Caenorhabditis elegans: one gene and its partner. The protein of the gene in region 1 purifies or fractionates together with the protein of each later gene. This does not show direct contact. Each region holds a gene or a part of one and is shown on either strand. Other genes may lie near its edges. The genes, in order: atx-2 and pab-1.

Region 1 (7,772 bases):
TGATGAAAAGAAGGAAGAGAAGGAAGAAAATAAGAATATTAAAATGAATATATATTGGGGAAACATTATATAAAGCACTGAAAAGCGCAGGAAGAGCGCATATAGATATGATTACGGGGGGCTCTGAGAGTGCTGCTGATCACGTGGTGTGCCTTGTTGAGACGGTGGTGGCGGTGGTGGTGGACCAGATTGTTGACCAGATGGATTTACACCTTCAAAGCTTCATAAACGGTTAGAAATTTGAACTTTATAAACATTTAAAACATTACCTTGATTGCCTTGGAACTGCTGTGGAAGCGAATTCTGGCGGTGCATTTGTTGCTGTTGCTGTTGTTGTTGTTGCTGATAGTTTGGCATTGTACGGTAGTCAAAGTATCCCGACGTCGGGAATCCTTGATCAGATCGCTCGCCCATAAGACTTTGTTGAGGATGTTGGTTCTGTTGCATTGGCATCTGTTGGGGCATTATCATCGGATAGAATACTTGCTGAAAATGATTGAAAATTAGATTTACGTTTTTTTCTCGGTTTTGTTCTTTTATAGAGTGTGAGACATTTTCAAATATTTCTCAAAAAATGGTAATTTTAAATAAAATCTCAAAATTCAATTCAAAAAAAAAATCTATCCAGAAAAATTGCCGAAATAGGAGATCTCAGCTAAAATTTGCCAATTTTTCGTTGATTTGGGCACATTCAAGTTCTACAGTCGGAATCGAAACTTTCTCGCTATTTTTAAGAAAAAAAGTATGAAAAAAAACATTAGGCAATTTTTTCTCCTTTTTCACTGGGCGATTTCAGCTGTAGAACTTGCAGATCTACAAAAATTTAGCAGAGTCAATCACAATTTTGTTCTGAAACTTCTGAAAGAAAGGAAAAAAAACAAGAAAACCAAAAATCAAAAATACCACTGAAAAAAGGAAAGAAAGAGAGAGATTAAACATGCCTGAGGCTGCTGATAGTAATTAGGGATCTGCGGATGCATTTGATGCGGTCCCTGCATCACCATATACTGTTGAATGTGTTGCTGCTGCTGCTGCATCATCTGTGGTGGTGGTGCTCCGACGTGTGGAGGAGCATGATGTGGTGGATGTTGTTGTTGCTGATGCTGCTGCTGTGGTGGTGGTGGTGGAGGAACAGCACCTGGTGGAGATCCGCTTCGTTGTCCCGACTGAGAGCTCGTCGATCCGCTGTGACTAGCGTTGCTGCTCGACTCGGCCTGCATGTTTCCGTTCTGAAAATAGAGTCACGGTCACAATATTGAAAAGCTTCATCTTATTAGGCACAGAAAGTTTGAAAGAGGGAAACATGCGAATAAGTTTAAAAAAAAAGAAATCTCACCTGTGGAGCACCGCTCATCTTTGGCAACTCGCCACGTGGTCCCGGAGTCGTTGGCTGACTATTCGGATGTGATTGTGGGCGACTTTGCTCTCCGGAGAATTGTTGTTGCTGCGGTTGTTGCTGTTGCTGTTGCTGTGGTGGTGGAGGACCCTGGTATCTCGGCTGCTGCTGCTGACCCTGTGGAGGCATCATGTACACTTGTGGCTGCTGATATCTCTGTTGATAGGCACCCTGTGGAGCTTGCTGTGGCATCATCTTCATTTGGTATGGAGCAGCTTGCTGCATCTGGCCTTGGTACTGTGAATGATAGAATTGCTGAAAAAATTTAGAATTTTTGGAATTGAGAAATCAGGAATTTTAGATTAGGAAAAGTTTAAAATTCTAAAAATTCAAGGCCTTTAAAAATAAATGTTTTCCCTATTTCTACAGGGATATTCCAAATTTTCGGTTACCTGAGATGTGACTGGAACCATTTGTGGCGGTCCATATGGCATGTAGAGTGGCTGCTTCTCACGATACTCTCCATCTCTCAACTGATGATTCTGACCACCAGCCGCACTGGTTGGCACCTGATGCTGCTGATTTGGCTGCTGAGCAACAGTGACCGGAGTCGCAGCTCCCGGGCCATACATCTGTCCAGGAACACCTTGCATTGGGACATGTTGAATTGGGAATTGATGATTCTGTGGATAGCCGCCACCGCCTTGTTGCTGTTGTCCAGTCTGTTGCCACATCATCATCGGTGGTTGACCTTGATTTTGTGGGCCGCCCATGTGTGGTGGAACCATTCCCATTCCAGGAGCAGGTGGTCCTTGTTGTGGAGCCATCATTGCTGGATGTGGCTGTTGTTGTGGATGATATTCTGAAAATTTTAGAGTTAAAACTCCGTCTTGGCAGCCAAAATTTTTGTATCAAAAATTGATACCTATGTGTATTTAGAAAAATATTTATTTTGGTTTAAAAATTCCCTCTCAAATGACACAATTTGAGATCTTTCTCAAACCTTTCAACAAAAATTATCTTTTTTCTACATACATTTCTGTATTAATTTTTGATACAAAAATACTGAAAAAAAGCCGTTTTGTTCGTTTTCCTACCATTTTGCACTGGAGTCGTCGCTGTTGGAGTCGCCGGAGCCACACGTGGCTTGAACTCTGGAGCATTGATGTTGAATTTGAACGACGATGACTTCGAAGTGATCACTGAATCATTCTCTGAAGTAACGGAAACATTGTCGTCTTCCTGATGCTTTTCCGCGTCGTTCTGTACGTTTTGCACTGGTGCAGCTGCCACATCGACGCTTGTGGATGGAGCTTCTTCTGGAAATTGGCAAAATTGTTCATTTTTGTTGAGAAAAATAGAAAATAGATACCTTTTTTAGTCTCAGCCTCCTCTCCATTGGTTGTCGGTGGTGGAGTCGACTCATTTGATGATCCCTTGGCAACCAGCGAGCTCGGTGGTCCGCGATTCCAGGCACTACCCGAGTTTCCAGCTGGCACCGCCGGAGCCTGATCCTTTGGAGCCGTCGCAATCGAAAACTCGTTGCCCCAGTTCTTGAGATCTGTCACACGGGATCCACCGGCAGCAGCAGTGGCAGTGGTGGCAGATTGAGCTTTATCGTCAGCCGGCTTCACATTGTTGTTGGGTCTCGGATCCAGCATCTGCTTCTGCTGTTGACGGAACGAGTGGTCGTGGCCCTGGTTCTGGCCCTTCCCCTTGGCCATCTGCCAGTCTGAAAATTAAGTAGAATGAGTCATTGTTTAAACAAAAACGACGGAAATTGTTTTCTAAGGAATCAAAAATCGAATTTTTACCAAAAATACGTTACCCGGTCTCGGCACGACAAGCTTGTTTAATGCAAAAGGGTGGGCGCCTTGAAAAAATATTTCAAACTCTTGTTGCTGTGGAATATTCATATGAAACTATGAAAAAACAGAAATTTCGCAGCAAAAAGAGTTTGAAAATACAGTACTCTTTAAAGGTGCATACCATTAAACACAAATATGTCGTGTCGAGACCGGTTACAGTATTTTAACGCTATACCAAAATGCTCTTGATCTGATTCTGACAGATTTTCAAGAGGAATTTAAATCAAGATTTCTTTTAAAAGACACTAAAAACTTCGAAAACTGTGGAATTTCCATTATCTAGAAGGATCTGAGGACTGGTGAAGCTGCAAAGGAGGCAAAAAAGGTATGAACGATCGCATGTTTCATCATCATTCAGACACACACACAACAACAAAAAATCACCGAGAAAAAAGAGAGCGGAAAGGAATGAGAGAGAGAGAGAAAGTGTGGCGCCTCCCTAACGATCGATTGGTACACAACATAGACAACACGGTTTTTCGAGAAGAACACAACCAACTTGTGATGATGATGATGAAGATGATAAGCGGTGAGGAAGCGGACAGAGAGAGAGAGGTAGACAGAGGTAGAGAGAGAGACTTGATGAAAGCATGTATCAGAGACGCAGGTGTGTTTGTATGGATAAACTGGGACCCGTTCGGTCATTTTTTCAATTTTTTTTTTCGGCGTTTTCACTTAAAAATCGGCATTTACTTGTTTTTTCTGACACAAAGAAAACGTTTTTCAGTCAAAAATCGGAAAAAAAAACGATTTTTCCACTGAAAATAACACTATTGCAGAATTATTTCGTATTTCTGTGATCAAAATGTGAGGAAAGAATGAAAAATTGGTTTTCTGATGGGAAAAATCTGATTTTTTTGCTGAAAATTTGCAAAAAAAAAATCGCTTTTTTCCGCATCCCACGAGGAAAAACACTCCAATTAATCAGCTGAAGACAACCGCTGCAGCCGCTAGCGAAATTATGTCATGCGAAATGGGTCAAGAAAACGGAATACACCGAAAAAAGAACTGTTGGACGCGGAGAAAGAGAACGAGAGAGAGATAATGATCAAAGAGACACACTGTACTCTCGGGAATGTACACGAACCATTTTCCTCGTTCTGGCGGCGATAACCTTTTTGACCTTGCTGCTGCTGCTGATTCTGTGAATAGTTCTGCTGAGCCGCTGCTGGAGCACCGTAGCGACTATTGTTCGCTGAAGAGCTTCCACTATTACGACGATCTCCGCGAAGACCCTCGGCACGTCGATTCACTGGCTGCCCGTTTGGTGCAATATTCGGATTGCGGCGCTGTTGTTGTTGCTGGTTGAAGCTGTTATTATTGCTGAAACAAATAAATTTTTAAATTAATAAATTCAAATTTTTAAAGAATTCCAACCGCTTTCGGCCATTGCCATTCTCGAAATCCTCTTGACGCGTGATTTTGTCCAAATCTCGCTCGTCGTCGTCGTTCTCCAAGTTCGCCATAAACTTCGACGACGAGTTGGACTCAATTTCTCTAGCGAGCCGCTCGGCGCGTGCTCGATCTTCGTCGGTTCCTACCACTTCGACGCTGAAATTTGGGATTTTATTGCTTTGCACGATGTTTTCCAAAATTAAAATTAAAAAATCGGGTCAAAATATAGGAAAGCACTTGATCCATCAGAGAATAACACTGATTTCGGTAGAAATATTCGAAAAAATGCTTAAAAATAACCTGAAAATTGTCAATTATCAACTTTCAGGACATTTTTATGCAAAATTTTGCAAAAATGGTTCAGTGACAAGATTTTTTCAAGGCAAAACTGAAAAAAATAGATTCAGATGCCCAAAAACGCTTGCAGACTCCGAAAATCCTGGATTTTTCAAGCGAAAAAATTCAAATAAATTACGTTGTGTATTGCGTTAAATCCTCTTTGAACGTCGACACCACGTTCATCTTCTCGTTGGCGGCGAACATGTCGTTGACCGACCATCCGGTGCCGTTGTTGTGATTGTTGCTGCGACGAGCGGCGGTTTGTCCACCAGCAACGACGACGTCGTCCTCAATGGATCCTCCGAGTCCGTCCTCCTCACCTCCGTTCCATTCCTGAAGCTCTTCGCCCTCGATTGGAGTATCTCCGTGGTATTGTCTATCGGTGACGAATTTGCTGACTGAAAATGGAGAGTTTTTCAGCTTTTTCGGATTAAAAATCGTAACTGTGAACCCGACTTGGCCCAAAATTAAAGATGTCATGCATTTTTTTTAATGAAAAAGTTCCCTGAAACAGCTCTTACCAGCATGCTGCTTCTTGATCTCTTGCGTAACGTACGCAAAATCGACAATATCACTATAGTGAAATACCATCTTGTCTCTGCATTCCGACTCTGTTCTCAGCAAGTTATTCTCGTTCTCCTTCGTAATTTCCACGACGCACTGCATCCCGAAATCGAAATCCTGAGACACGGCGCCCAGCACCCCAGAATATCGCTTTTTGTCCGTAGTATTAATGATAATTACACGTCCGATCATATCATTGATGGCGCTCAACACATCGCCATTTAGCGCAGGAAGACCCGTTGGTGTTGACTGGAAAAATTGTATTTTTAAAGAAATTTTCAAGTTGCCAGCGCTTACCATTTCTTTCATTCGCACTTTGGATGCAAATAAAATATAAATAAATAGAAGATTGTCTGTGGAGCAGTCAAAGAGTTTGGGTACAGGAGAAATGTACCTGAAAATGGAAAAAATTTGAATTTTAAAAACAGCAATTTCGCAACGATAATGGAAGTTTAATATGAGTAACAGTTTTGGGCAAATTTTTGAAATTTCCAACACAATCCCGTTTTTCAAGGTTTCACCACGTGCAAAACGAGCCACAAGAAGAAAATTATCCACAAAATTCGCGGAAAAATTTGAAAAACGTTCGAGAGAGAGACGAGAGAGCACGCAGACAGCGGAGGACACGCACATGCGGTAAATGACGCGCCGATTTCCGTCGGGATTGCCTGAGACTCCGCCCTATGCAAGTGCGCCGCACAGGGTTTCGCAAGTGTGCCGCGCGCATTTTACACAGTGGGGTTTTCAGGAAAGTCGATATAGTGGGAATTAGTGGATTTTTTCCAAGGAAAGTGGTAAAACATGAACATTTCGCCTCAACAGTTGAGTTTTTGGGCAATGAATAAAAGCATTTTCCCCAAATCAAAAAGTTTATCCGCAATTTATTGAATTAGGTCTGACAAAATTCAGATTTTGTTCTTAAAAGAAAGATAGGACATTTCTTCATAGGAGCACACACTTTTTTCATTTGACAAAAAATTATCTTGCCGGGTACCACATTTCTCGTGCAAAATTTCGCGATTGGGAAATATTTATCTGTTTGACACCACAGATTTTGGGGAAACTCCCACTCGGAGAAATTCTTTCCCTGCGCTATCTTCCAATACACTTTGTCGATAATACAATTTGAAATAAACAAAACTAATTCTCAATTTAAAATTTATCGCTCATCAAAAATATTTAAAAATTTCCCCTGTTTTTCGGTCTTTTTTTCAAGACTCAAATTTCTGTAGAGAAAGGTTCTGTGACGTCTCTTGTCAAGTTCGCCCCATTGACACGATGAAGAGAGACGCAGACTGAAAATAAAAATATTTTTGATGACATTTTGGAATAAATTCAAGAACATTTTACTTTTTGCGGAAAAACCGAGTTTCTCGTATTGTTTTGAACAATTTTTAGCAATTTCAGTGTAATTTCTTCATTTTTCGACGTTAATTTCTTCGTAAAACGCTAAATATTTAGTATTTTCAGCATGGAAAGCCCAATGGAAGTCGATGCTCCCAGAGAATCAGCTTCGCTGACGTCTCTCGACTCAGCAAATGATGGTAAGCTAGTCTAGCTTCTAATTTACATAATGAACTTGAAATTTTCAGTGGAAAGAGTCTTCCTGCGGCTCGTCAACGCCAACTCGGACGCCAAGCTACAAACTATCACAGATCGGCACTTGTGCGATGTGTTGGAGTTTGCCGGGAGAAAGCAGGAGCACATTCAGCTGGTAAGACGCAAAAATTCGCTGAAATTTGATTCAAAATGACTAAAATTCGTGATTCCAGGTCACCGAATTTCTCACACACTTCAACAAAGTCGTCAAGAGCAATTTGGCGATCCGTCTCCCAGTGCCACGTCTGCTCGAACTTTTCCAAGGCCCGAGTGCCATTTCATCGGTTTGTAGCGTTCTCCAGACGATGTATAACCCAAAAAATTAATATTTTTTCCAGAATTTCAGTCTGATCTATCTCAAAATGGCAAAAGACCGGATCCAGGCCGCCGAGCAGCTAGAGTTTCTGCCTGTATACTTGACATCGTTCAGCAAGAAGCCCAATGATCTCAATTACATTTACGAGTAAGTAAAGTAGAACTATTTATATTTTCTATATAATTTTTTCCAGCATTCTCTCGTTGTGCCTGCCGGGACTCCACGAGCTCGCGAGAATCGAGAAAAAACACTGGCCGACGATCGAGATGAGCTCTGTCGACGTGGAAATCATTGCCAGATGCTTTCAGGCGATTCTCGTGTTCTCTGCACGAAGCATGTACGTAATTTCAGTTTT
Region 2 (4,993 bases), on another chromosome or scaffold:
ACGATGAACTTTAGACGTTTTCTTATAATTGCATAATTTAATTTTTATAAACTTTTTACTTTGCTGATTCTTCTTTTATATTTTGTGTCTTTAAACAAAACGCTGACTTTCCTTTCTCCAATATTAATAGTCTCTAGAGTCACGAACAGTAGTCGAATTCCTGTGTTCAAGTAGTAAATGTTTACTCTCACCGGATACCAAAACTTAACTCATTTTACTAAATGTTCACGATGAAACGAAGTGTAGCATTTTGTTTAATATTAATTCCTATAACAATTTCAACGCAATGTTTCGTTTGCGATTCATTTCAAGGTTATTGTGATTTCGATGGTTCAACATGTGTTGGTCCGAAATGTTCGAGACGAACAGCGCCCATGACTAGTGAGTTAATTATTATACAATTGCAGTCAGCTTCGAATTTCAGATGGTTTGATACGTGAACAACGAATTTGCGTTCCATCCGATTCTCCTATTGGGTGTAGAAAAGCTGTTTTGTGGGATGAGATGGAAGGTGTCGAATGCGTTTGCGAAGGGCATCTGTGTAACATTGCTTCTTTTTTTTCTATAACTTGCCCATTAACATTGATTATTTTTATGATTTTATTTTAACGTGAATAAACATCACAAAAGTGAGCTTACTCAAGGGGTGGGGTGTGGGGCGGCTAAACCAACCACTAACAAGTAACAAAAAGAAGGGTGACAGTAAGAAAAAAAAACAGGAGATGGGTATGCTTAGCAACTGGGGGAACGTGCTAAGAGCACTTGGCAATGAACTTATTGCTTCTGAGCGGAAACGAGAACCGATGCAGCTTCGTCGACCTTCGAGCGGAACAATTCACTATCTTGAAGCATCATGATCAACTCGGAATTGTCGATTTCGAGCATCATTCCTGTGATTTTTCCTGCGTCCTTGTGTCCCGGGTAGAGTTTCTCAATGAGAGCGTAGATACGCTCACCAAGAAGTTGCTTTTGCTCCTGAAAAGATGTATCATGAAATTAAGTATTGCAAAACAAAGTAAGCTTACCTGAGGAGCAGCAGCGGCCAACATTGCAGATGTGAGTGGCTCTTGTCCTCCAATAACGATTCCTTGTGGTCTTTGCTGGTATGCCTGATATGGCTGTGGTGGAGCCTTTGGTCCGGTTGGAGCTGGTCTTTGCTGCTGTTGTTGCTGTGGTGGACGTGGAACGTTTTGCTGTTGGACTCCAGGATTTTGGGTGCGTGGTGGTCCCTGCATGCGGACGCCTCCTTGAGCGACTTGATTGTACTGCTGTGGTGGACCGCGTGGTCCTCCTTGTTGGTTCTGTGGACGTCCCATGCGGTTTTGGTAGACACCTGGGCCTTGAGCCATCATGTACTGATTTTGGACTGGGTACTGATTTTGCATTCCCCAGCGACCTCCTGGGCGAACCATCTGTTGTCCACCGGCGAAGTTGCGCTGCTGAAATAATAAATTCGAGCATTACAAAAAAAACAACAAAAAACTAACCTGTTGCATCGGATTAGCAACATAGTATCCTGGTCCTGGCTGTGTTGGGTTGTACATGGCTGCTCCTGGAACGTTGCCGTGCATTCTCATGCTTGCAAGACGTTGCATGTATTGAGAAGCAAGCTGTGCACGACGATCTTCTTTACGTTGAGCAATAGCCACATACAATGGCTTTGAGCACACCATTTTTGAGTTCATCTCAGTCACTGCACTTGTAGCTTCCTCCGGCTTTTCGAAGCAGACAAAACCGAATCCCTTTGATCTCCCATTTTCGTCAGTCATGACCTAAAAATATTATGTATATGATAGCATTTTGAAAAAGTTTACCAACCTTAGCACTCGTGATGTTTCCGTAAGACTCGAATTGCTTCTTCAAGCCATCATCATCGACAGTCTCGTCGAGGTTTTTGACGTAGAGATTGACTCCTTGATACTTCTGCATACGCTCAGCCTTGTGTTGCTCGTGCTTCTTTTTCAATTCAGCGTGTCTCTCAGACTTCTTTTGGGCACGGCAGACATGAAGTTTCAAGTCAGTTCCCTCGATGGTTGAATCGTGAAGAGCTTGCACAGCAGTCTCGGCCTCTTCTGGATTAGCAAAAGCAACAAATCCGAATCCCTTGGACTTTCCCTCGACAGTCATGACTTCGCAGCTGGTAATGTTTCCGAACTTGGCGAAGAGCTTCTCAAGGGTTTCCTTGTTGTAGTGATCTCCAAAGTTCTTCACGTAGACATTGGTGAACTGTTTGGCAGTCTCTCCAAGCTCGCGATTGCGTTGAGCACGTGGCTGGAATTTGCCAACGAAAACCTTCTTCCCGGCCAGAAGCATGCCATTGACTTTTTGGATAGCATTTTGGGCAGCTTCCTCGGTCTCGAAGTGAACGAAACCGTAGCCTTTGCTGAATCCGTCCTCGTCGATAGCAACCTGTACAACATAAATTGAAGGCGGTTTGGCAATGCTCTAAAGAAAACGTTACCTTGCAGGAGAGAATGTTTCCGAACAGGGAGAAGGTATCGTAGATTGACTTGTTGTCGATGACCTTATCGAGGTTCTTGATGAAGATATTGCCAGCTCCCGAACGACGCATAGCTGGATCTCTTTGAGACCACATGATTCTCATTGGTTTGCCGTGAAGAGCCTCGAAGTTCATGGTGTCCATGGCACGTTCAGCTGAAAATTGAATTGAATTAAAGATTGAAGTGAATTTGGAGACAAACAAACCATCAGCTGGTTGTTGGAAGTTGACGTAGGCATAGCCCAATGAGAGACGAGTGGCATTGTCTCTGCAGACACGAATAGAAAGAACAGGGCCGGCAGCGCTGAACTTCTCGAACAGGATCGACTCGTTGACGTCCGGGTGGAGGTCTCCGACGTAGAGCGAAGCCATGGTGTACGACGAGCCGGTCTGATTTTGGCCTGGTTGAGGAGCAGCAGCGCCAGCAACGGCGGCAGCGGGAGCAGCGACGTTCATTTCCATGATTTTACTGAATTGAAGATTGAATAAATAGAATAGAAGTAATATTTTAGTGACCGTCACGTATTTCCGTACTTTTTTATTATGGGTGAGGAGTTGGGTCACGGAACAACGTCTAGCGAGGAAGTCAGGCGACGTCTAGCCAGACCGCGGGTTAATGTAGTGTCTGCCTACCTACAACTAAAGAGCAAATGACGATAGTACGCTAAGAATAGCAGAAAGGGCGGAGTTAGCCTAATTGTCTAATAAACGCTCACATCTCGGGACCTGGGAAGTATCGATCGGGAAACACGCAGCAATTATTCGTATCGGTAAAAAATTACTTGTTATTCAACAAAAAGAGACAGAAAACTATATGTCCTTCCCAAATAATCATAGAAAACAATTTAGCACGGAAACAAGTAACGGTTCGAATTACGAAATAGGAAAAATCAATAAAACTCACGTTTTGGTGTCGGATCGTCCAAAGAATAATTTTTTTGGTGATTTTTAGGGTTTTTTAAATTTTTATGGGTTTTTGAGCAGTTTAAATTGGGATTTACTGTCCTTTTGCTCAGAGCCAGGAGAACTCGGATCCCAAAAACCGGAAAAAGACACACTAGTGTTTCAAGGGAGGAGGGAATGTGCCGATGGGTCTCGCCACGAAATGCATCGCGAACCGTAGTTATCGCTGCTTTGCCCCTATTTCTGGCCCAAAATCTGATACTTTTCGCTGTTTCGTTTCTTTTTTGCAGAAAATTATGTTTTTGAAACCAAATTTTAGTTTATTCGACTTATTTCTGTTTTTTAGTTGCAAACTTTCAACAGATAAACGCCTTTTTATATAATTCTTCAAGCTGTAAACTATTATAAATTGAATTTCTTACCACTTATTTTTTGAGACGTTGAAATTTTCTGAAGTAGTACGGATGATCGCTTTCGTAAAGACGTTTTGAAGTTATTTGTTTTTTAATGTGCCGTCCTTCTTTTGCTCTATTTACGTGGCTCAAATTAGAAGTTCACGCAGTTATTTTTTCTATTTTCAGGTAAATCATCATGGCTCCAGCTGCTAAGCCACAGGTTAGTGAAGTTTCTCTGGAGTTAAATTTTCGAGCAGCGATGGAGTAATCCGGAGCTCGGGTGATTTAATTGAGAAGGAGTAGCTTCCCCGCTCATTCTGTCACGGGCTTCGGGTGCTCAATGTAAGCGCTCGCGAATTCTCCAATATTCGAACGCCTGATGATCCATATATTCGTTTAGGTCAAGAAAAATGCTGAGAACATCAACTCCCGACTCTCCATGGTCATGAAGACTGGACAATACGTCCTCGGATACAAGCAGACTCTCAAATCCCTTCTCAACGGAAAGGCTAAGCTTGTCATCATTGCCAACAACACTCCACCACTCAGGTAAATCAATATTTATCATTTCGGATTTTTATTAACTCATGATTAATTTTCAGAAAGTCCGAGATTGAGTACTACGCCATGCTCGCCAAAACTGGAGTTCACCACTACAACGGAAACAACATTGAGCTCGGAACCGCCTGTGGACGTCTCTTCCGTGTGTGCACCCTTGCAGTCACTGATGCCGGAGACTCCGACATCATCCTCAGCGTTCCATCTGAGAGCGCATAAGCTGTTTGTTATTGTTACAATAAATTGTTGAAAACAGTTTAGAATCAGTATTTTTAACACAAATTGTTTATTGCAAATCAGGTGCGGCTTTAGTAACACTTTCCAGTTGCGCTTCGTAAACGATGTCACGGATGGACTTTTGGATCTTCAGCCAGTGTATGCGATCCTTGTATCCTATTTCTTTCAATGGGAGGTACAACGATCGACAGAATTCCATGTACTCGTCAGATGGCATTTCTTCTAGTTTCTCTTTCTTAGAAGAGGGACCTTGGTATAAATCGTACGGCTGTCCCTGGAATTGCATCGGACGTTTTTTCATCACAAAATCGTTTTGATTCACACTGTCCAGGAACATGAGCGAATCAAAAAACTTCCATTTCGGTCGTATAGGGCATCCATCATGATCAAATGTTAACTT

Evidence for each region.
Region 2: the proteins of atx-2 (region 1) and pab-1 purify together in Caenorhabditis elegans (affinity purification with mass spectrometry, with the first as the bait; one study listed by BioGRID). This does not show direct contact.

The regions. Positions count from the first base shown.
Region 1 is NC_003281.10:10,459,752-10,467,523, reverse strand, and holds atx-2 (Sm domain-containing protein), read right to left. Parts: upstream 6,136-7,772; coding exon 5,800-6,135; intron 5,752-5,799; coding exon 5,460-5,751; intron 5,337-5,459; coding exon 5,075-5,336; intron 4,756-5,074; coding exon 4,582-4,755; intron 4,528-4,581; coding exon 4,292-4,527; intron 3,069-4,291; coding exon 2,709-3,068; intron 2,656-2,708; coding exon 2,434-2,655; intron 2,199-2,433; coding exon 1,789-2,198; intron 1,652-1,788; coding exon 1,337-1,651; intron 1,230-1,336; coding exon 938-1,229; intron 483-937; coding exon 270-482; intron 221-269; coding exon of another isoform or gene 213-220; coding exon 112-212; downstream 1-111. Other genes in the region: ecps-1 (Proteasome component Ecm29 N-terminal domain-containing protein), read left to right, coding at 6,974-7,046, 7,095-7,216, 7,275-7,385, 7,440-7,564, 7,611-7,754.
Region 2 is NC_003279.8:10,432,270-10,437,262, forward strand, and holds pab-1 (Polyadenylate-binding protein), read right to left. Parts: upstream 2,970-4,993; 5' UTR 2,963-2,969; coding exon 2,707-2,962; intron 2,656-2,706; coding exon 2,462-2,655; intron 2,410-2,461; coding exon 1,819-2,409; intron 1,773-1,818; coding exon 1,488-1,772; intron 1,440-1,487; coding exon 1,026-1,439; intron 976-1,025; coding exon 775-975; 3' UTR 592-774; downstream 1-591. Other genes in the region: Y106G6H.1 (Saposin B-type domain-containing protein), read left to right, coding at 1-14; rpl-30 (Large ribosomal subunit protein eL30), read left to right, coding at 3,995-4,018, 4,199-4,347, 4,401-4,575; madf-10 (MADF domain-containing protein), read right to left, coding at 4,643-4,993.